Mytilus edulis: one gene and its partner. The protein of the gene in region 1 purifies or fractionates together with the protein of each later gene. This does not show direct contact. Links are inferred from orthologs where the notes say so. Each region holds a gene or a part of one and is shown on either strand. Other genes may lie near its edges. The genes, in order: pyruvate dehydrogenase E1 component subunit beta, mitochondrial-like; dihydrolipoyllysine-residue acetyltransferase component of pyruvate dehydrogenase complex-like.

Region 1 (12,213 bases):
TTTATCTTTTACTCATATGGCATCAGTAAACTTTTCGATGCATATACATGGATTTATCAGAGTTTTAATTTAGTCAAAATGCGTTTATAAAGTGCCAACAATACTGAGTACAATACCTCATCTCTGTTGCATTTTTATGTTGTAGAAGAAGTCACTTTTCGAATTCAAGCAGCATGTAGCTGAACGCTAGAGTAAAATTAATACTAAATCTTTGTGCTCTGACTTGTTTCACAATTTACTATATGGTTTGTAATCAAACAAAAATTTAGTCATTATGATGTTTGAAATATTTAGACACTTTTGTCGTGCATGTTCCTCGACAGTCGTGTTGGTTGCATAAAACGACCTTCCTTAGTTACAGCCACTTTGTTGTGTTCTATTTTATAGAGCATATTTAGCCTAGCGTCTTTTCGCCTTTTTTTCCAGAGATGGTCAATTAATCCAGGTGCTCAATCATTTTGCTGATACTTGAGTGATTATGGTGTATGTTGGAAACATATCTTGCTGCTCGTCTCTGGATCATTTCTAGACGATCTATTTCGGTTTTAAAGTATGGGTCCCATACTTGACTTGCATACTCTATTACTGGTATTGCGAGGCTTTTGTATGCATTTTCTTTGACTGAGGTTGCTCCTATGTTTAGATTTCTCTTAAGGGAGCCTATTGTCTTATTGGCTTTATTGCATATGTTATTGATATGATCATTCCACTTCAGTTCGGATGTGAAGGTGCAACCAAGGTATTTAGCACTTTTGACAGGTTCAAGTTTGTGACCATGCAATATGTACGAAGTTGGAATGGTGTTGTTTTTGCGGCTGATGGTAAGAACATTGCATTTGTCCGGATGGAAGGACATTTTCCATTTGACTTTCCATGTTCCCAGTTTGTCTAGGTCGCTCTGGGGGTCGTTTGAATCTTTGTCAGATGAGATGGTAAGATATGCTATTGTTTCACCAGCAGGATTTGATCCCATCTGGCATGTCGTTGATGTAGAACAAGAATAATGCAGGACCAAGTACAGAGCCTTGGGGAACTCCAGATTCTACATCAATATGTTATGAGCTCTCTCCATCCACTACTACTGCTTGCGTTCGATGGGATCAGAAGCTAGCAATCCATCTATTGGTTTTACCACCGATACCGTAATGTTCTAGTTTGTGAGACTATGATCGACTTTGATAAATGCCTTTGAGAAATCCATTATAAGAACATCTGTCTGTTTACCTGCACTCATATTTTTAGTGATGTCATCCACGAATTCGATTAGTTGGGTTTCACACGAGCGTTTACTACGGAAACCATGTTGTAACGGATAGAGGATTTGATGTTGATCAGCATGTTTCATTATATGACTTGTAACTATATGCTCTATTAGTTTGCAGCAGATACAAGTTAGAGAGATTAGTATATAGTTTTCTGCTTTATATCTTTCTCCATTCTTGAATACTGGTGTTATGTTCGCATTTCTCCAGTCATTTGGTACATCCCCAGTTCTGTTGATGTTTTGAAAATGATTGTAAGGATTGGGGCTATTTCTGTGGCCAGTTCGTTGAGTAGTTTAGGTTTTATATTATCTTGTCACCGGGAAATGATATTTCAACTTAATCTTAGCAAGTTAGGGGACGACCATTTGATATTCTGGGGGGGGGGGGGTGGGGGTGGAGGGGCAGGAGGATTTGTTTTTGATCGGTTATTTATTTTTGTAAACTAAGAGGACATGTTATCTATTTTCTGCACTATTGAAGCAAGATTTTTTATTTTCATTAAAGCAAGGGACTGATTATTTATTTTTACAACTATATTTATAATATTCGAAAACATCCAATTTTTAAATTATTTGTTTATAAATTATAAATAATACATGTATAGTTAAGTCATCATGATGTACCATTTAATCAGAATTAATCATTCTCCTCTGCAGAAATGAATCTTCTATATTCCCAACTGCATATACATGTATTGCTTCCAGACACTATATTGAAGATTGAGTGTATCTAGCCTATTTAAAAAGTATTGGCAAAACATTATAGGCCGAGCGGAGCGAGGCAATTTTTTTTTAAAGGGTTTTTGAGCCACTGAAGGCTTCTGTTTTTTAAACTCATGATCAAGTTAATAACAAAATTACTATATAACAAAAGGAATGCAACACTAACAGAATACAGAAGGGCAATCAATGAACAAAAGACAAATAAATAAGAAACATTGATCCTGAAAAATCAGGGGCTACGTTTTAGGGATAACAGAACTTGCTTCTTGCAAGGCACTCGACGTGAAAACAATTTGATATGGAGACAAGCGTTTGGTTTTGAAATTTTCTACATGAGGCATTTGCCTTAATGTACAAAATGTAGTTACGGCCCTGTTAAAAGTGAGGTATTAAAGTGTTGCTGAGAAAACATACCTCAAGTTAAATGAAGCCAATTTACAGACATTTCAAGTATATTTAAATAATATTTATACTTTTATTATTAAACAATTTAGGCAGTGTTTGACGAAGGCGATTTTTTTTTTAAAAAAGATGAATTTATGATGAATCTGGTGCCAACTCATACTTTCGACTAGACCTGTTGACTTATTTATTTTCAATACATTGCAAGTCAGGTAATTTATTTTCAAACTACCACAGAACAAACCATTTATTTTTGTGATTATCAAGGCTGAGTTATTTATTTTCAAAATCCTCCCCACCCACCCCTAGAATATCAAATGGTCGTCCCCTTAATGCTGAGTTCACACGTTATTCGAATTCGATTCGCATTAACTAATTCGAATTAGTTTAATTCGCATTACGTCCTAACGTCAATTCTAATTTATATTACAATGCGCGTCGAATTCGCTTTACTGTCCAAACGACGTTAACTTTTTATTCGTATTAACAAAAGCGTATTTCTAATGCGAATTGGAATTAGTCAATTCGAATCAATTCGAATTCAAAAAGAAGAGTGTGTGAACGCGATTAGCGAATTCGATTCGCATTCAATTCGAATTAAATGTACGCGTGAACGAAGCATAAGTTATTAACCGACAAATAACATAGGAAATAGGAATACGCAATATAAACACAGCCACCCTACTAGCAAGATTTAGTCAGTAGACCAAGAAAGCACAGGAAAATATAAACGGAAGTTAGAAATCGTTTCCGGGACTTTATTGCAAATAAAAACACGGACGTTTTGACTTACCAGAACATCTGCAACCCCAATCGTAACAGCAAGAACAAAATTAAAGTACATGGAGAAAATTACAAGGAGAATCCACGTAGGTTTTAATATGTATCAATTAGAACCGTTATGCCTAAAGGCCATACGATTGAGGATTGAGGAAGTTCCTTCAAATATACCATTCATGCACGGGAATGAATTTGTGACGTCAAATATGATAGACTGGCTGTATGTATATTTTCTACCTCCATGTGATGAATTTTGATTTTGAATTTTGAATTTGATAGATTTGTTCTTGGCACTGGCTATGGTTACATGGAAGTGTAACAATAATATGAAAAATATCGTTACGATCATAAAGTATCTTGAGTCTGAAAATGATAACACTGTTTCCCCCAGTTTCAACCATAGTTGCTTGAGGACAGGATCCTGTTATGAGCACCCCATATTCCATCCCCCTTATTATCATAAATCTCAGATTTTTTAATATATCACTTATTTGTACCATATATATACTAATATACCATATTTTTACTTTAAATATGCATGTTTACTATCAACGTGAATCTCGACTAGACATTAGTTGATTACTTTCACAATTTTTAAAGGGACACTAGCTACGAGATGTATAAAAATCTAAAGTATGATTTGTTTTTGTTCAATCAATAATAAAAGTGAAATAATAAAATAATTCTCTTTTAGCAGTCAAAATGGAACAATTTTGTCAAATCTAGGAGGTTATATTAGAACATACTAGAACACACCCGTGATATCGCGGGTCCGTGACTGAATTAAAGTATATAACTATGCGCAAGCCTTATTTTAGTATTAGTATTGTCATCTGATAAAGTCATGCCGATTATAAGATACACAGTTTTCTCTGCTTTTAAATCTTTCTGTTTGAACCCGTCGAACTGGAACTTATCAATTATTGATAATATTAATTATTTGGAAAACAAAAGGTCCTGGAATGGAGTATTTTTTAATCAACAGCATTGTCCTATATTAGTTATAAATAAAATTTGACAATTAAGTAGTGTCAACCCTGTGATTATGACCCGTGTAATTACTATATGTGCATATTAATCCTGAATACACCGTTTGGTGGTGCGCCTGTCAGATGTGGAACGTACAGATAAGGTAATCGGTAACAGGTGAATATACTATTGGTATTGGTATCGGTATCGGATTCGACCCGGAACTTCTTAATTATTGGCAATATTAATTACGTGGAAAACAAAAGGGCTTGGAGTGGTGTAATTTTTAATCTACACCTTTGTACTATATTAGTTATATATAAAGTTGAATTCTTTGATTCGTCGTTTTTACGTGATGATGGCTGACAAATTGGACCTCGTAATTTTAGTATTATAGATAACCTCCTTGGTCAAATTAAGCTTAATAATATTGATAATGAAGTATTCACTTGCAAGTGAATAATTACTGAGTCGACCTCATTAAATCCGTATTCATGTGAACTTCAATTTAACCCCTTGACTAGAGATGGACAACGCATGCTTTGTACATGTACTGTTTATTTGAAGGAAAGGAATGTCAACATTGAAAGTGAAACAAATGCAAATCATTTGATGACTGATTCGATCCACTAACAATCTTTCTTCTACATTAAAAAACGAGGAGAAACATACATTTTTATCCTATAAAATAAAATTAAACAGACCTATAAAAATCCAACTGCACGTGTTGGCTTAATATATTTATATCTAATCATTAGTATATTGATAGATCCGTGTTTTACTTGCTCGGATACTAATAATTAATAACTATATTTTTGTAAATATTCTATATTCTTCAAAACTACATATGTACAGTTATACTACAAATCTACAACTCCCAGTATTTATGGCTACACGTGCTGTTCTTTGTCTATAAAGTCATGAATATTTATTAGCTATGTAGGCGTGTCAAAATCGTATCATACGCGATAATGACCAGCCAGTACACTGTAATGATTTCATTAACCAGTATTAAAAAGATAAACATAACAATATTTATGTTACCATATGCTCTGTAAACTGTTTATTTCACACTTTTGATAGTTTGGATAAATGTTTTGCATTGTTATAAATAAAATATGAAAATTTGAGTCAAATTGGTGACCATGAATTGCGTAAATGTAGATCTAGAGTGGGGTGCTCATTTTCGCCACATCTTTCCATGTTTTCTACAGTTTATGTTCAGGTCTAAATGTTTTTGAAGTATACTGATATTTCTATATGAAGATAACTTCAAATGCAAAATATACTTAAGCTTGAAAACCGGTTTGTTTTAAGAAAATCATCTGAAAAGTTAGATTAAAGGGTGTTTGAAATTTCCGGATGTTTTGTCAATGGGGGACACATATTCGCCGTTTTTACACATCTATTTAAAACCAAATAACCGCAGCTTTTAACAATTTTTATCAAATCAATTGCATTATAGATGAATAGCAGACATTTCAAAGGTATAAAAAATTCAAAATTAGGGCATTCAGTCAAATATTTACTTAGAAATACTTCTTTGAAATCGTTTTTTATTCAGGAAATTGTCAGAAAATCGTTGTCCGTTTTTTCGGTCATTTTCGGTAGGACCCGCAATTTTGTCTCAGTTTAAAAAAATATTATATTTGTTATAAAAATATAATTTACGGGTACATTTCTTCCATTTCAGCCATCCTTTGAAGGTTTTACACCTCAAAATCCTTAAACGGCGAAATTGTGTCCCCGGCGAAAATGAGCACCCCACTCTAACAGTAACACACGGTTTTATCCAAAAATCTACTTTTTTCAATATAGCAGTTTTTTTGTAGTCATGCGGGTCTAGATGTGGGGGGGGGGGGGGGGGGGGGGGGGGGGTCTGTTATTCTGTAAACATTAAATTTTCACCCCTTATTTCTCTAATCTTTAAAAAATTAAACCCTTTTTTCTCTAATCTTCAAAAAATTAACGCCTTTTGTCTCTAATCTTCAATTTTTTTGCCGGTTATTCTCTAGCTAAAAAAATCTTCATTTTTTAAGGGCATTATTCTTTAATCATTTTACAACATTTAACCCCATCCAAACCCTCAGTTATATCTTCATTTCATTTAAATCTGGGAAAAGCTTAATTATCAAGGGTAAGAGACCATATTTTGGAAATTTAAAAGGGGGCAGAAACATAAAATCATGCTGCAGTCTTCCCATAAATTATTTAATTATAGAATATCAAACTAGGCTGACTGTATTTTATATTATGCGCCCTCTATCGGCTGATAGCTCTTCGATGAGCGATGGGAGATTGGTGGAAAACAACGGTTGAAAATATTCTGGTTAGGTATTTAGACGAATCCAGATTTTTTTTCTTCAGTGGAACATCGCGTGAAGGTTACTGTGATCCAATATGGCATCCGCTGTAGTTCAACGAATTGTGCGAGTATGTTTAATGAGTAGAAAATGTATCTTGGGCTGACGAAATGCTAGAAAAATTGATCAAACATTTCGGTCAGGGAAGATACTTGTTGGTTTCATTCTGAAGGTGTCTGGGTGTTTTCAGAAACATACATTTACAGTGAACTCGTCGTTATTTTCACTTTGACACTTTTCCGACCGTTTCTACTAAACACAAAATGAAATACCACACTCTAGTGTTGATAAAATGTGAAAAATAGTCAGATGAAATAGATTGATCATGTGTGATGATACTGATAGAAAAGATCTGTAACTATAGTTGCCATCAGCTGAAATTTGTAGCAGTTATTGGTAAAAAAAAATCTAAACTATCAATCGCGTTCACTCGTAGATATCCTCTTTATATAAATTTGCTAACACATATGTTTATGTATTGGCATAGACTAGAGAAATTTCCATCTAATTTATTGAAAAATGCTTATGCTGAGTAAAAAAATGATGGAAAGTAAAGGTCAAACTAGTTCCAATAATTCATGGCTCTCTAATATCATTTTCTACAGTGAAAAATTGGATATTGACCTAAATATATGTAAAAATCTAGGAAAAAATTAATTTAAAAACTTACAGTGCAGTCCGGTGTATCCGCACACATAAGACTTATGACTTCACTTCATTCAACTGATAAAACCAATAATTGGATAATTTTGTGTGAACACATTCATAATATACTTTTATTTCATAAAATCTTCTGTTTGTATGGTTTCATCCTCTAGATTTTGTGTAATGTGTGTCCAAAATTAAGGAAACCCCTGTTCTGAGAGTTCCTCCAATGTCCGGTGATTTCGCACATGCCTTCCAAAAATAGCTTATTTGGAATAAAGGAAAGATTTTACACTACAAAATATAGCTGAGTTTGTACCAAACACACTTCCAAGGATGCAGAGCAAAAATTATTTCAATCTGATATTAATTTGAATTAAATAAAACCAATTTTATCTGATGATGTAATTTTTTTAATGGAAATTGGCCAAATATGGTAAATCACAGGATTTCAGTTATTAATTAATTCTTGAACTTATCAATTTTATTCTTTTTTATCCCTTCGGAAGGCTAAAACATTAACAAGAACGATTTTGTATGTGTTACTGTGTTGATATGACGAAATCAGCTAATGCGCGATAACACGGGCCGCGCGGACACCGGGGACTCCACTGTATTGAAAAAACAGCTCAAATTAAATTTTCAAAATGATTGGGAGAAAATGCGAGATTTTTATTTACAGAATCAAGGCAAATTGGACACTTATTTTTCATTCAAAAGGTCATTTGACTATGAAAATTATTTAGATTTAAAGCACCCACAAAAACATTTGTTAACAAAATACAGACTTAGCAATCACTGTTTAAGAATAGAAACTGGCAGACATGAACGAATTACCAATGTATGTGGTAAATATGAAATATTACCTCGACATGAGAGGATATGTTTATATTGTAATACAAATTGTATTGAAAATGAAATGCACTTTCTTCTGGAATGCCCAATTTACAATAACCTCAGAAGAGATATCACTGATTATATAAAAAAATACCCCAGTTTAGATAGTTTAAATATAAATGATCTTTTTTCATGGATCATGATTAATGAAGATAGCTGATTTTTATCTATTTTATGTGCATACCTGGATAAAGGCCTGCAACTAAGAAAATCAGAAAATTAGTTAAATACTCTAAAATATATCATAATTATCTCCCCTTGACCACTGATCCTTTCTTCATGCATTTGAATTTCAATTATTATTTTATGTTTCTTTAATCACTCTGTAATGTTTATGTCATGTTGTAATTAATGTTATGCTCTTAATGGGCCCTTTAATTTGGAAAATAAAAAAAATATTGTAATTGTAATAAATCGTCAAAAGAAAAACCACTACTGACCTACCTTATAAGTGATCACACTGTAATAATCCTGACCTTCACATTTTCCAGAATGTTTTTCATTGTAATTCCGCCATCTTCGTTCTATGAGGATAATCCTTTGATTACATGTGAAATTCGTCACTTTCGGAGTTTCCTGTAATATTCATTTCATTGATGTGACAACATTTCCCGCGCTTTATGCAAATTTTCAGAACTTGAACTCCACAGAAACAATTCCTGTAAAACAATGCCTGATTCCACCATTCAAAATCGTCTTGGAAAATGTGAAGGTCAGGATTATCACAGTGCAATCACTTAAAAGGTAGGTCAGTAGTGGTTTTTCTTTTGGCGATTCATGAATGGAATGTGAAAAACTATATCATGAGTAAACGTGGTTGATAGTTTAGATTATTTTTACCGATAACCGCTACAAATTTCAGCTGACGGCAACTTTATGCATTATACTGCTTGCTGTAACACTTACAGTTACAACATTTATAATTGTTTTTACATGCTCACTGTAATCAGTTTAAACAGTTACATTTATGATTCAAAAGCTAATTAACATGCTGTCTGTATTATCGTAACAAAACTATGATTACTCACTTAATTTATTATGTCCTAGCTTTGATTCAAGGGCACATTATTTAATGTTAGGTGTCAAATAGTCATTTTCGACTACTGTTAGCGTCAAATGGATTAAAATTTTACTGTGATTCGTCAAAATATCCTTATCGTGATTTGTCAGAGGTCCCAAATAATTATCATTGCCATTATTTTTGGAATCAATAAATGTGATTCGTCAAAATCATTCGATTTTTTTTATCGTCTAATTACAGGGTTTGAAATTAGCAGGGGCCTGCTCGCCAATGGCCCTAATATTTGGTGTGGGCTACTTAAATTTCTGCTTATCTTGTATAGGACTGTATATCAGGGCTACAAAATTTAAGCTGTGGGCTACAATTACCAAAGTCTCAAGTTCAATCCCTGAAATAAAAGTACATATTACCGTCATGCACCAAAAATTATCGTTAACATCAATTGGCAAGAATTTTTACCATTATTCGTCATGAAGGTACCCCATTACTACCCTCATAAAAATGCATTAGTACCATATCTTTTTTGAAAAGGGGATTGGTCCATTGGTAATAAGCTTTAGATAACTCTTACAACGAAAGGTCAACTTGTAACACTACAAAGTGGTACAGATGAAAACTTGTACGATAAAAAAAATTATGCAATATCCAGATTGTTTTGTGTAATATACAGCATTTATACATGAGAAACTTCTGATGCCACAGATGGCTGTACCATAACAACATGCACTTCTCTATGAAAAATCTACATGGACATGAAATAATCAACAAAAAGATGTATGACATGCTTATTTCTGTTATCAGAACCTTTTGTAGCAGGCTTCCAAGTAGGCCAACTGTAAATTCATGAAATTATTTCGTCTTCTTACTGGGAAATGGCAAATTTTGGCAATTTGTGAAATGACACTCTACTGTGAATTTCATTATCTGTCTTTTCCAATTATACTTACATATATATGCTTGTTTCCTGCACAAACTGACACCAAGTTTTATGCAAAACCTTAAGTATTTTATTGCATTGCAAAAAAATCATTCAAAAAGTAAGTTTTGAGAGCTTTCTTATTTGACTACAAATCCAATTTCTGCTGGAGTGATTTCTCAAATTTTTTATAAGAAGATGTATGCAAATTGAGTGTAGAACTTGTCAAACATTGAAAATCATAAACCTATCATCATGCAATTGCATGTTCAAATTACCTCATGTATATATACAAAAATGTATCAGCGTAAAATTTTTCTGAATTTTTTTAACATGCAAAAGTGTATATTTTTTGGCCAAAGGACCATTGTGTAGGTTGGCTTTGAAAAAAATAAACAGTATTTTAATTTGGGTCTGAGCATTTTGATTTACAATTACAGAAAGTGCCATTGAAAAGTTTCAATAAACAGTTTTCCACAACGACAGTTAGAGCTGGATCTCAGGTAAATTTACATTAAGTCATTTGTGTAGAACAGTCTTCATGAAAAACTTTTAAATCAGCAGGCACAGAGCTCAAATTTGGGAAAGTTCAGTTAGATTCTGTTAGCTTAACTTGTAGAGATGATTTTTACGGACCTCAAAGTCAAAGCAATTTTACATGTCTGGGCTGCTGGGTCTGTGGCTAAGCGTGTCAGAAGAGTGGTAGAATAGTATATTTTAAATCCAAATTAGAAAATAAACCCAGCAGTGGTCTTACATCCATCACACATCAGCTTCCTTTTTACCACATATGTTTAGCAGGGGTTACTTTTTTATTAACAAAACCATGAACAAAAAGAAATAGGATATACAAATGTACAGCAACAAAAGACAACCACCAAATTACAGACTCCTAACATGTTTGTAAGCCCTAACCCACACCGCTAATCTTGGACAGTGGTGACGCAGCTCAACATTACTATAAAAATCAGTTGAAAAGAGCTTTAACTCATTAGAATAATACAAAGCACAAAAGAATAAAGACGTTGTCACTCAAACAAAAGATTTGAGAGTAATTGGCGTTACTGAAAGCTATTTGAAAGCCAATAATAACTATTAAAAAAATCATCTATCTAAAACTAAGTTATCATTCAGTTCACATCCAATGTTTGCCTGTCATTGACTGACCTTTGTCTGTGCCAAAATTTTAATTAATAATATCTAATTTTAGCACATTCAATTACAAATAAATCTAAATGATTGTTTTTACAGTTAACTGTCAGGGATGCCTTGAATGCTGCTATAGATGAAGAAATCAAAAGAGATGATAAAGTTTTTCTATTGGGAGAGGAAGTTGCATTGTATGATGGTGCCTACAAGGTTCTTAATATATTCTCACAAAATTGAAATCAGTTTGAACCATTGAAAACTTGCTAATTCAAAATACAATGATATATAAATTAAATGCTTTAATTTTTCCTTGAAAAGTCCTTGTTGTTCCTGATTGAACAGTTATCCTTCATCAATATTATTATGGATAATTGGAATAAATTCTATAGTGTTATAATATTAAATAGAAACTTTCTTGTAATGTTGAGAACTTCTTTGTAAAACATGTGAAAGAAAAGATTATTAGCAGGATAATGGCCTTAGCTGTAAATATCTACACGGCTACTTAAATGTTCTTCTATGTTCCAGTTATTAAAGCTTTATGTTCTACGCCTCAATGTTACGATGTACAAACCTGTTAAAACTAGTGAATTTATCCAAAAATGAAAAACTGCCATCATCATAAACCAAAAGAAAAGAAAAAAAGTTTTGATTTATTTTACATTTATTTGTTGTATATGCAATAAATGTATCTGATGTTAGTAGTAGATGGAAAACAACCAAACTTGAAGCTCTAGATTATCAAACATAACTTATTTTATCAAAAAGCATGTGTACCTAAATATTTTATCCTGTAATTTCTAGAGCGAAACAAAATTCAGCAGATTTCATCTCTCATAGCTGTCTTCTACTACTGGTTCTTTTGTTTATGTAAATGTGATATAAAGAAGATATTTTTTTTCTCTGAAATTTTCTTTTATGATTACAGGTTAGCAGAGGATTACACAAGACATATGGAGACAAGAGAGTAATAGATACTCCTATTACTGAGGTTTGTTAAATTTAAAAACAAATTTAAGCTCACCTAGCCAAAACTTTAATTATGACAGGCTTTATTATAAGTCAAACTTAACACAGATAAAGT
Region 2 (12,416 bases), on another chromosome or scaffold:
TAAACAGGTAACATGCAAAGATTAGAAAATGTTTATTTTTACAGGGCACATCATTTCAATATTGAAGTCTGTAATAAGGTATATTAATTCATCATTTACATTTTATTTTTACCATCACGATTTGGTTGACCATTTAATGAATGGCTATTATCTATTTTGAATTTATTGAATTATAAAACTAATTTTTGACTCTTCACATTGAATAATCTGTGAAGCGGATTATGTAAAATGTGAAGAGTCAAAAATTAGTTTTATGGTTCAATAAAATCAAAATAAATTATTGCCATTCATTATAAATAAATTTCTATCAAAAATAAGGCTCAAAGAACTTTTTATATTAACAAAACAACGTTCAGACATGTTAGTGTATGAATACTCAACGTCAGAGTGGGCGTATTATTATAGAATGTTTATTTCACAAATGTTTATAGACATACTTCCGTTGTCGTACATGTCCACTTGTTTTAGACAAATCATTGGTGGTACTGCATTATTTTCTATTTGCACAACATTTGCAATAGATTTGGAAAACGTGTAATTAAATCTCCCATAGATTAGGAAATTACAAAACTTGCCATAGATTAGGATTGTAAAAAATCTGCCATAGATAAGGGATGGCATGACATCACATTGGCCATAGATTTGGAACCCAACATAGATTTGAGTCCTACATATATATTCACTTTCATGTAACCATAATACATTTGACCCCTGCAACTATTAAACACCAAAATAATTTTGTGAGTGAGGTACCTTCAAATATAAAACTTTGGTTTTAGTTGGCAAGAAAGATTTTGCTGAAGATTAAAATTTTAATAGTTTTTGGATGATTAATCAAAAGTATCATAGCAATACCTGGCCTGACCCTTTGGGGCTCATCTTTTTTTATAATGAACTCTTCGTCCACCTTTCCTTGATAGGGCAAATATTCCTCGTCTAGAGTTCAGCGAATGAAAGACTATGTATGTTATTTAATTAAACACAGTGAATTCTTTAACCAAGGATGTATGTTAGTTATAACTAGTTGCTTTTAATATTCCATGTTTTTTTTTCCAATTTTACCCAATTAGACTGGCTGTCCAATTATAAATGAATGTCCAACATGGACTCATATACAGGACAATTGTATTCAAGAAAATGTTATTAAAGACGTTTGCTTTCCAGGCTCAGTATCTCAAAATGTTGCCAGTGACTTTTTGCCAAAATGTGAAGAAAATAATATTTACAATTCAAAAAAAAAGGTGGCTTTAAGCCATCAAATGTTTAGTTTCAGCGGGAAAGCAATGCACGAAGTTTGGCAGAAATGGACTTATTGCACAATTGGTATAGAAAGATGTGCCAGGTGTGTAGAAATATTGATGCCCGATTGTCAAGTCTAATCACTAATAAAAGTCTCCATAAGGCAGCTACCATTTGATTTTTATGGGGGGGGGGGGGGGGGGGGGGGGGGGCTAGGATGAAATTTGAAAAAAATAGGCAGGACAGGAATTTTGAGTAAAAAAAAGGCAGGATGAGAAACTTGCAAAAAAAAAGTCAGGATGACAATTTAGGTAAAAAAAGTCAGGATAAACTAAAAAAAAAAAAAGGCAGGACCAAATAGAGTGAAAAATAAAAAGACAGGACAGAGATTACAACTAAAAAAAATTGCAGGACAACATTTTTCATCCTAGCCCCCCCCCCCCCATAAAAATCAAATGGTAGCTCCCTAAAAAGTGTTACTTAGTATTTAAAACTGTAACATAATGAATTGATTAATTGATTGTTGGTTGCTTAACGTCTAGTGTCAAATATTACATGCATGTTCAGGACGAGAACAAGTTAACAATAAATACAATAGGTAGGTTTGTAATAGAGGCCATCCGGGACGATGGTCGGGAAAATTTGGACTGCCACTGGAAAATGAGGGTATATTAGATAGGGACAGAAATTTTGCCTTGCAACAGGCCACCTACGGACCCCTAAAGACTTGTTGCATAGGTTCTTAACGCGCAATGAACGTGGCACTCTACACGAGCCATCAGATTAAACTTCCCCATTGTGACCGGACGTGGATGCAAATTTGATACATCACACACAGCCAAACGGACACTCCCACTTTGACAAGCGTTTTACTGCTAGTCGGAAGGAGACCAAGTGACCATACTTCTACCCCCAGTAACCAATGGGGTGTAAACATAATGAATCATATATGAGGGCCCTCATGGGGTTTTTGATTATGTGATTACTTGGCCGTTTTTTTAATGATTATTTGATTATTAAGCCAAATATTTCATGATTATTTGATTACCTAGGACTGTATTTTTAGTTTATGATTATTTGATTACTAAAGATAAGCAAATATTTAATGATTATGTGATTATATTGGCAAAAAAATGGTGATTATGTGATTACTAGGACCCCCCCCCCCCCATGAGGGGCCTCATATATTAAAGACTTATTCACGAAATAAGCAATGTTAACTGGTATTGTGTCGCAGAAAAAGGAACAACTTTGAGTATGTTGTAGATATAATTTTGGTATACCAGACGCAAGTCTCGTCTTGTACAAAATGTAGCTACATAGGATATACATTCAAAACAATTGTAAGAAAATGTATTTGTCACTGTAAATTCACAATGAAGTTTACAAACACGAAAGAGTCAATTGTAACCAGTGTTCTTTCCAGGAAATTTTCGGTGGATAGCTAGCCGAAAAACCTTTTAGATAGATGTATTGTCTGTTTCGAGGGGGTGATAATAAACATTTTTTTTAAAGTTGTACCGATTTTTTAAATTTCGTTGTTTTATAACTAAAGGAAATTTACCGATTAAAAGATTGATTGATTGTGTAACGTCCAGTGACAAATATTTCAAGCATACAGAGAAAGAATTTGTATAAAGAGAATAAATACTCTAAACATATGTTATTCTATTATTTTTCGCAAACTGAAACCAGTTTCTCTGTTTTATATATACTGCGCAGGGATGCTTTTTATATAGGAGAGAAAACGAACAGAGAAGCAAAGACAACCTGTTACCTTTCAAATAAGACAACAATGTGTCAACTGTGAACAATACATAACGTCACGGCCGGTACCCAAATTGCACCTTATTTTTCTATGATTCGATATGGATGGTGGAACTATATCGTAAATAATGATACATCTACAAAATAAATTCATAATGAAATCTTTTGTCTGAAGCATTAATAAACGCAGGTTAAAAAACTGTCAAAATGTCCCCGTTTACACTGAGTTCGTAATTTTCCCCTTCATAATTTGTCATCAAAAAGGCTTTCAGGATTATCTTTTTCGCCTTATGCAAGAACATTATGTGTGATGTTTGAATAAAACAAAAACATTCTAAGAAATCCTAGCTAAAAATTCCTGTGGACCTCCTACGGCACCCATAAGTATTTAAAGATTTGATTTCATTCAACAAACTAATTTATTACCTTAATGTACGTGTCGCTAATTGCAACACGGCCATATACCGGGCGTATGACATTTGCGCCGATTTTTTAAATTTTCATTCTTTCATTTGCTCCGATTTTATATTTGCTCCTAATTAGATTTACAGGTAAATTAATAGTTGTACATGTACTATACCATTGGTAAAATCTGGTTATAAATTTTGTTCACTTATTTTTAAGTTATTTTTGATTCATATTGTTCTGAAACTTCGTTGTAACATGATGGACATATGCTCACTGACACTCACCAAAGAGTCAATTCTTTGATCATCGGAAGGTCAGTGTCCTGAAACAAAGCAACGTATTTTACAAAGTAGCATAAAAATCGTGTAAAGCCAGAGTCACCACGGATTATGATGGTCTGACTATTGTCAAAATAGAACAGAACGAGCATAACCATGTGGCAGTTGACCGAAAGACAGAGGCTTAAGAACTACGGGTACGGTCAAGGACAAAGTCTGGACATGTATCTTGTAGGTCCTCTTCCACCTCCCGATGGTAAGCAGGGGACAACAGTTATATACATGTTATGATTGACAATTCATTACATTTGTACAGGTGGCTAACGGAAGAGGTCTATAATGATGAATGAAAAATAACATGACTTGGATGGAGAGTTGTCTCATTGGCACTCATACCACATTTTTTTAATATATATTCACCTGTAATTTACCTGTAAAAAAAATCGGCGCAAATGAAGAAAAAAAATCGGCGCAAATGAAAGAAAAAATCGGCGCAAATGAAATGCAGATCGGCGCAAATGCAAAACGCCGCATATACCAAATGGTCAATATTTATCATGCATGTAATTTGCTCTATGGCGCAAATGAAATGCAAATCGGCGCAAATGCAAAACGCCGCATATACCAAATGGTCAATATTTATCATGCATGTAATTTGCTCTATGGGATATTTGCAGAATTTCAACGGAGGCAATTTCTTGGCATGGTCAACATTCAACTCAAAAGCTATAACCAAACCGATAAGCAGACTTATCCAGACATAAGACATAAGACATAAAGCTTTATTTAGAGTCGGTATAGGCAAGCAATTACAAACATAAGCTCTGAAGAGCTTTTGAAACCGACATACCAACAAGTAAAACAAAACATACATATCGAGTCATGCACACAACATTAAACATATAAGGCAAGAGTTCATATCAGTATATAACCATGCAGCACAAAAGTTCGTTAAGCATCTTATAAGTTAAACACATACTGATACATGCAATTATGAGATAAAAAACAAAAGCACAAATAAAATGGTTTGCACATAGAAAGCACATTAAAAGCACATAAAGTTTCTAAAATTAGCACAAAGCAACAGAAGCACTATAGTAAAGATAACAAAATAAATTTGCCATGCTGAAAATAAAGCAACAAACCAAAAAATATGAACAGAGATTAACTGTTTTTGCAGGCAAAGCATTGGCATGAGCTGCCAGACCAAGAATTTATCAAGTTCTTGAATTGCTTTAAAGATGATTGCTTACGAAGCTCATCTGGCAGCTCATTCCAAAGCCTAGCACCCGCATACCTGAAAGATTGTAGGCCATATGCAGTTGTTCTTACATGTGGTAGATCTGCTGTATTCTGGTATCTGAAAGAGTAAGTGTTTTCCTTTAAGTGAATCAAATCATGGAGATATACAGGACAATCTTTATTTATAATTTTGAAAACTCCAATCGCCAAAGATCGCATTCTTCTTATTTTTAAAGATGGTAATTTTGATTTGCAAAGTAGATCTTCATAACTTGCTGAATGGTCTTCATAGATGAACCTTAGTGCTCTCTTTTGAATTTTCTCTATCTTTTTTGTATCCAGAAGGGAGATAGTTACAATACTGTTGTCAGGTCGTTAAAGATGGTATATCTGGTATTAATATTGATTCATACACCAAGGGTCTTTGCATTCTGAAACCAGCTGTTATCATGATACGGGATATGTTCTTCTTCTTCTTTCAGTAAGCGGCCACCATCAACTGGTTGACTATCCTGCCACATTTATTGAGTGTGCGCATGAATAAATTTTTAATTTAACAAAAACAAAAACTAGGTGAAATTTATATGTACACGTCAGTTGCAAATAAAAACACGTCAATTTAATTTACTGACGGAGCTGAGCCTTGAAAGATTCCGGAATCGGGGCTGAGACTTTACAGTTGGGCAAGGTGTTCCACCCTTTATTGTTCTAGGATAGAACGACTCCTTCCGAACTGTTGTTTTGAATGATAGTATTCTGAATGCTTTTTCGTTGTTATTCCTGGAAGGACGTTCATCTGGTTTATTCTCATATAACATTTGATAATGGCATGATACTAAACCCATAAGTTAACGGGAGGGATTGTGGCACGCTTGATTTTCATGTTATGAAGACATAATCGGCGTTCAATCATTTTAATTGAGGTCTGGAGCTGGTACGAGTTACTCACGGCTAGTAGTCCTTTGTTTATTTCATAGGTACATGTGGAAAGGACCATTTGTTTTTGCCTTCCTCCTTTTTCCCAAAATCGGTTAATATTTTGTTTTCATTTCAATATTATTTTCGGCGTTTTTCGGTATTATAATCTTGGACGTAAAAAGATCAGTGAACTCTGTGAAAAGTAGACTTGGAATTGATAGTAAATAGCAAATAGAAGTTATTTGTATTATATGTATGTTCTTATAATACAAATGATCCAGACCTGTTCCTAAGTACCTATGAATATTGTTACACAAAATTATTTTGCATAACCTTTCGGAATTTCAATAAACTTTTCAACTTCGATTTTTTTTCATCTTTTTTATTCTAGCGTCATTGGTGTGTCTCGGGTCTGTTCTAACTTTAACGGGGATTATGAATAATCGGGAACTTGAAGTGACGCTTTTTTTAAATGGGGCGAGTTGTCATATTCCATTCCGTTGAAGTTATAGTCATTTATGCGTTTGAGAAAAAGGAACACTATATGAGTTTACTAAACTCTACTTTGACAAGACTATGGCTGCTTCTGGCATTGTCAGATTTGGCAGACGATTTTCTAAACATTTATTGTCAACAGGCCTGAAGGAACCTAATAAAATAACAGAAAATGGGCACTATATAGCAAGAACATTGTTTACAAAATGTGCAGACCAAGGTGATTTTTTATAAGTATATTTATCAACATGTTAAAGTTAGTGTCAGATTTGCCCTTGACACACAGGGGCTTGTTACAATTGCCGGGTTTACTATCCATACGAACCCCTAAAAATTAGGGGTTCGTATGGATAGTAAACCCGGCAATTGTAACAAGCCCCTGTGCTTGACAGTTCTCAGTTAAGTATTAAGTCATTTAACTGTCTGACATGTGATACTGATTTTGAATGATTTATTTATGTTAAAAAATAACGAAAGTGTAATTCAGTACAAAGCTGGAAATGATGTGGAATAGCCCCCGTTTTGAAAAAGGTCAAGCCAGTATGTACTAGCTCGCAAGGTACCACTAGACCTACATCAATAGTGGCAAAACACCATCCATAGCCCTATTTGTCCGCCATTACATAGCACAGGTTCCCTTAAAATTTTGATGTCACAATATAATATATCTGAAGCCACAATGAAAAAGTGATTGTTGTAAGACGTCAATAGTTCAAGTGGGACAGATTCTCAGGTCAGCCGGGAAAAGCAATATAATCATGTCTATCACAGTATCAGTATCAAAGCAGGAAGGATTCTAATGGAAAGTAAAAACGACTTTCACATATCCTAGTCCTATAATATAAAGACTCGGCATGTTCATATCATTTACATTCAACGTTTTTTATCGGATATTTTTTTTTTACTAATACTATCAATGTTGAACCGCAGTCTTATAAAATCTGTCTTTTTTTCTCGTAGCAAAAATTTAAATTAATAATCCACTGCCAAAACAAATAAAATTATTAGGAACAACCTAAATATGAATGAAAGTAACTTCTTACCCCATTAATATATAGTTTAAAATAATGTTCCTAATCCATCACTTTTATCATGCGTTTATCCTCAGTTGACAAACAATTTTTTCATGCCATTTTATTGCAAATATATGTGCCGATTCTTTGTTTTAGGGATTTCGTGAACGAAACAAATTTGATAATATTTATAATCAGTATTGTACAACGTACGAAAACATGACCAATTACTGTAATAGTGTCATGCAATTATAAATGTATCCTTAAAAAGTGTTGAGAGAATTCGAATGGGGTTTACAAAATAGAGAGCAATCGGCAAAAAACATAAAGATAGAAAAATATCATGGGTTCTTTTTTTTTTTAAGATGATAAATTCTGTATGCCCCTCCCCCACCCCCCCCCCCCCCAAGAAAAAAACCTGTTAAGTATAAGAACATGTCCAAAATACAGTTATAATGTATCAACAGATTAGTAAAAAATATGTTTAAACATAAATTATAGGTATAACTTATTTATTAAGAGAGTCAGTTCATACCCAATAATTCTTGTGGGCTAGTTAATCAATCTTCGGTGAAATCTAGTATGTCGCTACAATTCCATAACAGAACTGTCAAATTTTGATTATCAAATGTGAGTTCGCGAGTTCACATAAAAGGGGGGGGGGGGACAAACCAAATATCCTTCACAAAAAGTTCTCTACTCCAAGTTGTTAATTGAGCACCAACAGAAATCATGGGCGAGTTGTGAGAGCGGGCGAGGTTATGAATGTCTTTGGAAATATGAGTTCATGTAACAGGGGTGTGCGAGCCAAATTCACCAAATGATTGTTCTCTAGTCAATTGTACGGGCGATGCGATGTCTTTCGAAATACGAGTTTGAACATTCATGAAATCTACTAGCTGCTAACGGTATGAAGTTGCAATGTTTCATGAGAGTGCATCAATGTGAGAGAGAGCGTGGCAATACATGATTTTCCAAGTACATATTCATACAACAGTGAGCAAGCCAATTCTCATTCACCAAAAGTTTTCTTGTCCAAATTGTTAAGATTCAGCAGTTATGAATTTCTAGTTGTGAGAGCGGATGAGTAGATAAATACCTTTCAAAATACGAGTTCATACAATGGGGGTGAGCGAGCCAAATGTTTTCTGGCGAGGCAATATTTGTATTGCAAAAATCGAGTTGTTACAAAGAATAATATAGCAAGTTGTTAGATAAGACAGTTCAAGAAAGATTGCAATTTCAATCTCTGGGTGTTTGTAGAAACTCTTCAACACTAAATTTGCTCCTTTCTTGACAAGTACAGTTTTTTAACACTCTGCACAACATTTCAGGAAGGACACTGACAGTGCTGCAAATCGCATCCATCGCATTTCTTTGTATCTGATGTATCTCCTCTGAAGTTGTCTACGGTAAATGAATTTACAATTTAACGTCGGATACAAGTGCTGGTGCTTTATATGATATCCTATACACATTTGCCAGTGGTTTTGAGCGACAAAGTAAAGTTATCATAATAGAATAAAACTGAATCCATCTCTGCCATCCTTAGCGTATCTGTCAGCTTCTTGCCAATAGGACAACACTGATTTTGGACATTTAATATTTAAACTTTTCATGCAAATGTTGATCTCGCAATTTTACCATTGTTTTGTTTTGTGTTATGCGATGTCTCATTGAAGGGCTTAAAATATTAATATTGTTTAAATATAACAGGAAGAAAATAAGTTTTTTGGAAAAAGTACATGAAGTCGTTTAAAATCTAAGAAAAAGAAAGGGAAAAGTGGCACTTAACTGCACAAGAAACATGAAAGATACATGTATTGTAATGCATAAATGCAAATTTATATTGGTTTGCATCATTCATGTAATATTCATATCATTTGAATCCGACACTTTTAAGCTCACATGGCCCGAAGGGCCAAGTGAGCTTTTCTCATCACTTTACGTCTGGTAAAATTGTTTATCAGGTCAAGATCTATCTGCCCTGAATTTTTCAGATGAATTGGACAACCCGTTGTTGGGTTGCTGCCCCTGAATTGGTAATTTTAAGGAAATTTTGCTGTTTTGGGTTATCTTGAATATTATTATAGATAGAGATAAACTGTAAACAGCAATAATGTTCAGCAAAGTAAGATTTACGAATAAGTCACCATGAACGAAATGGTCAGTTGAACCCTTTAGGAGTTACATGTATTACCCTTTATAGTCAATTTTTATACGACCGCAAAAATTTTAATTTTTTGGTCGTATATTGCTATCACGTTGGCGTCGTCGTCGTCGTCGTCGTCGTCGTCCGAATACTTTTAGTTTTCGCACTCTAACTTTAGTAAAAGTGAATAGAAATCAAGGAAATTTTAACACAAGGTTTATGACCACAAAAGGAAGGTTGGGATTGATTTTGGGAGTTTTGGTCCCAACATTTTAGGAATTAGGGGCCAAAAAGGGCCCAAATAAGCATTTTCTTGGTTTTCGCACTATAACTTTAGTTTAAGTGAATAGAAATCTATGAAATTTTGACACAAGGTTTATGACCACAAAAGGAAGGTTGGGATTGATTTTGGGAGTTTTGGTTCCAACAGTTTAGGAATTAAGGGCCAAAAAAGGGCCCAAATAAGCATTATTCTTGGTTTTCGCACCATAACTTTAGTATAAGTAAATAGAAATCTATGAAATTTAAACACAAGGTTTATGACCATAAAAGGAAGGTTGGGTTTGATTTTGGGAGTTTTGGTCCCAACAGTTTAGGAATAAGGGCCAAAAAAGGGCCCAAATAAGCATTATTCTTGGTTTTCGCACAATAACTTTAGTATAAGTAAATAGAAATCAATGAAATTTTAACACAAGGTTTATGACCACAAAAGGAAGGTTGGGATTGATTTTTGGAGTTGAGGTCACAACAGTTTATGAATTAGGGGCCAAAAAGGGCCCAAATAAGCATTATTCTTGGTTTTCGCACAATAACTTTAGTTTAAGTGAATAGAAATCTATGAAATTTTGACACAAGGTTTATGACCACAAAAGGAAGGTTGGGATTGATTTTGGGAGTTTTGGTTCCAACAGTTTAGGAATTAAGGGCCAAAAAAGGGCCCAAATAAGCATTATTCTTGGTTTTCGCACAATAACTTTAGTATAAGTAAATAGAAATCAATGAAATTTTAACACAAGGTTTATGACCACAAAAGGAAGGTTGGGATTGATTTTTGGAGTTGAGGTCACAACAGTTTATGAATTAGGGGCCAAAAAGGGGCCCAAATAAGCATTATTTTTGGTTTTTGCACCATAACTTTAGGCCAACTAAAATTAATTAGTAGATTTTCATCCAAATTTTTGAAAAAAATGAGGCGGGTGGGAGGATTTTATTTTTTAAATTTTATTTCATATGAAACCCTCGTCACGAGTTCTTCATACCGCGGAGTATATGCTAGTGGAAAACAAGTTGTATAATGTATATACATGCTGTATAAGGAATCCTACACTATTTTTTAAATTCTTAAATAAAAATCCCTGATTGGCAACCACTGTTATACATGTAATTGCCGCTTTAGAAACCTATTTATAGTATACATCAAAAAGAAGAGAAATGCTCTCTTCAGTTGGACTATACCTACACCAAATGTATTTTGCTTTCTAAGCAATGGTTTGTAGTCCCCATAAAATCAATAAAATGCATTGGTACAATTGTATGCAACACAAGTATTATGAGTACAGAATAAAATTTAAACTCAAGTGTTGAAAGTAATTATGATGTAAAACATGAACTTAACCAAAAAGTAGTTGTTGTTTAATGACTAAATTGAGGGTATTGGGACAGTTACAGAGGGTGTTTGCTGTTTGTCAACAAAAACAACAGCCATGGGTACTAAATATAAGGGCTTGTTATAATTAAAATGCGTGTTTGTCGACTTTTTTTTCTCAATATACGGTCATAAATCAAACAAGTTCGTGCTTGTGTCAATTTCTTTAATCCAGTCATGTTTTTTGTTCCAATTTGTTCTACAATTCTTGCGCTTTGGATATCATTCAGTCCAAATTTCCTGACGCACAGTCATTGTATAAATAAAGTAAAAAACACTGTAATTTGCGTTCAAGGACAAGGCGTTTTACTCGTAACTCGATTATTTCATGCCCTTCTCGTTATCATTCTCTATTCTCGGTAGATGATGTTGTCATCATAGAGCAGCAGAATATGTCGACTTAATCATTTTCGTTAGATTACTCGAAGAAATACAAAAACAAAATTTGAAACAGGAAGTTTTGAATGAAACGAAATTATCGATGGTTCCTGGTAACGGACATGAACAAAATCCGGAAATCATATTTTTGTTAAATAAAAAAAATCGGGGCGGGACGATTTCAGAGGGGCGGGCGGGGATGAAAATCTAGCAATTAATTTTAATTGGCCTTAGTATAAGTAAATAGAAATCTATGAAATTTAAACACAAGGTTTATGACCATAAAAGGAAGGTTGGGTTTGATTTTGGGAGTTTTGGTCCCAACAGTTTAGGAATAAGGGGCCCAAAGGGTCCAATATTGAACTTTGTGTGATTTCATCAAAAATTGAATAATTGGGGTTCTTTGATATGCCGAATCTAACTATGTATGTAGATTCTTAATTTTTGGTCCCGTTTTCAAATTGGTCTACATTAAGGTCCAAAGGGTCCAAAATTAAACTTAGTTAGATTTTAACAAAAATTGAATCCTTGGGGTTCTTTGATATGCTGAATTTAAAAATGTACTTAGATTTTTGATTATTGGCCTAGTTTTCAAGTTGGTCCAAATGGGGGTCCAAAATTAAACTTTGTTTGATTTCATCAAAAATTGAATAAATGGGTTCTTTGATATGCCAAATCTAACTGTGTATGTAGATTCTTAATTTTTGGTCCAGTTTTCAAATTGGTCTACATTAAGGTCCAAAGGGTCCAAAATTAAACTAAGTTTGATTTTAACAAAAATTAAATTCTTGGGCTTATTTGATATGCTTTATCTAAACATGTACTTTGATTTTTGATTATGGGCCCAGTTTTCAAGTTGGTCCAAATCAGGATTCCATATC

What was found.
Region 2: the proteins of pyruvate dehydrogenase E1 component subunit beta, mitochondrial-like (region 1) and dihydrolipoyllysine-residue acetyltransferase component of pyruvate dehydrogenase complex-like purify together in Homo sapiens (affinity purification with mass spectrometry; 4 studies listed by BioGRID and IntAct, counting the BioPlex papers as one, with this or other methods). This does not show direct contact. The link is inferred for Mytilus edulis from reciprocal best matches to the Homo sapiens genes PDHB and PDHX.

Annotation. Positions count from the first base shown.
Region 1 is NC_092344.1:86,489,469-86,501,681, forward strand, and holds the start of pyruvate dehydrogenase E1 component subunit beta, mitochondrial-like, read left to right. Parts: upstream 1-6,445; 5' UTR 6,446-6,538; coding exon 6,539-6,571; intron 6,572-10,420; coding exon 10,421-10,483; intron 10,484-11,231; coding exon 11,232-11,339; intron 11,340-12,057; coding exon 12,058-12,120; intron 12,121-12,213. UniProt on the Homo sapiens protein: The pyruvate dehydrogenase complex catalyzes the overall conversion of pyruvate to acetyl-CoA and CO(2), and thereby links the glycolytic pathway to the tricarboxylic cycle.
Region 2 is NC_092350.1:78,629,238-78,641,653, forward strand, and holds the start of dihydrolipoyllysine-residue acetyltransferase component of pyruvate dehydrogenase complex-like, read left to right. Parts: upstream 1-6,336; 5' UTR 6,337-6,428; coding exon 6,429-6,567; intron 6,568-12,416.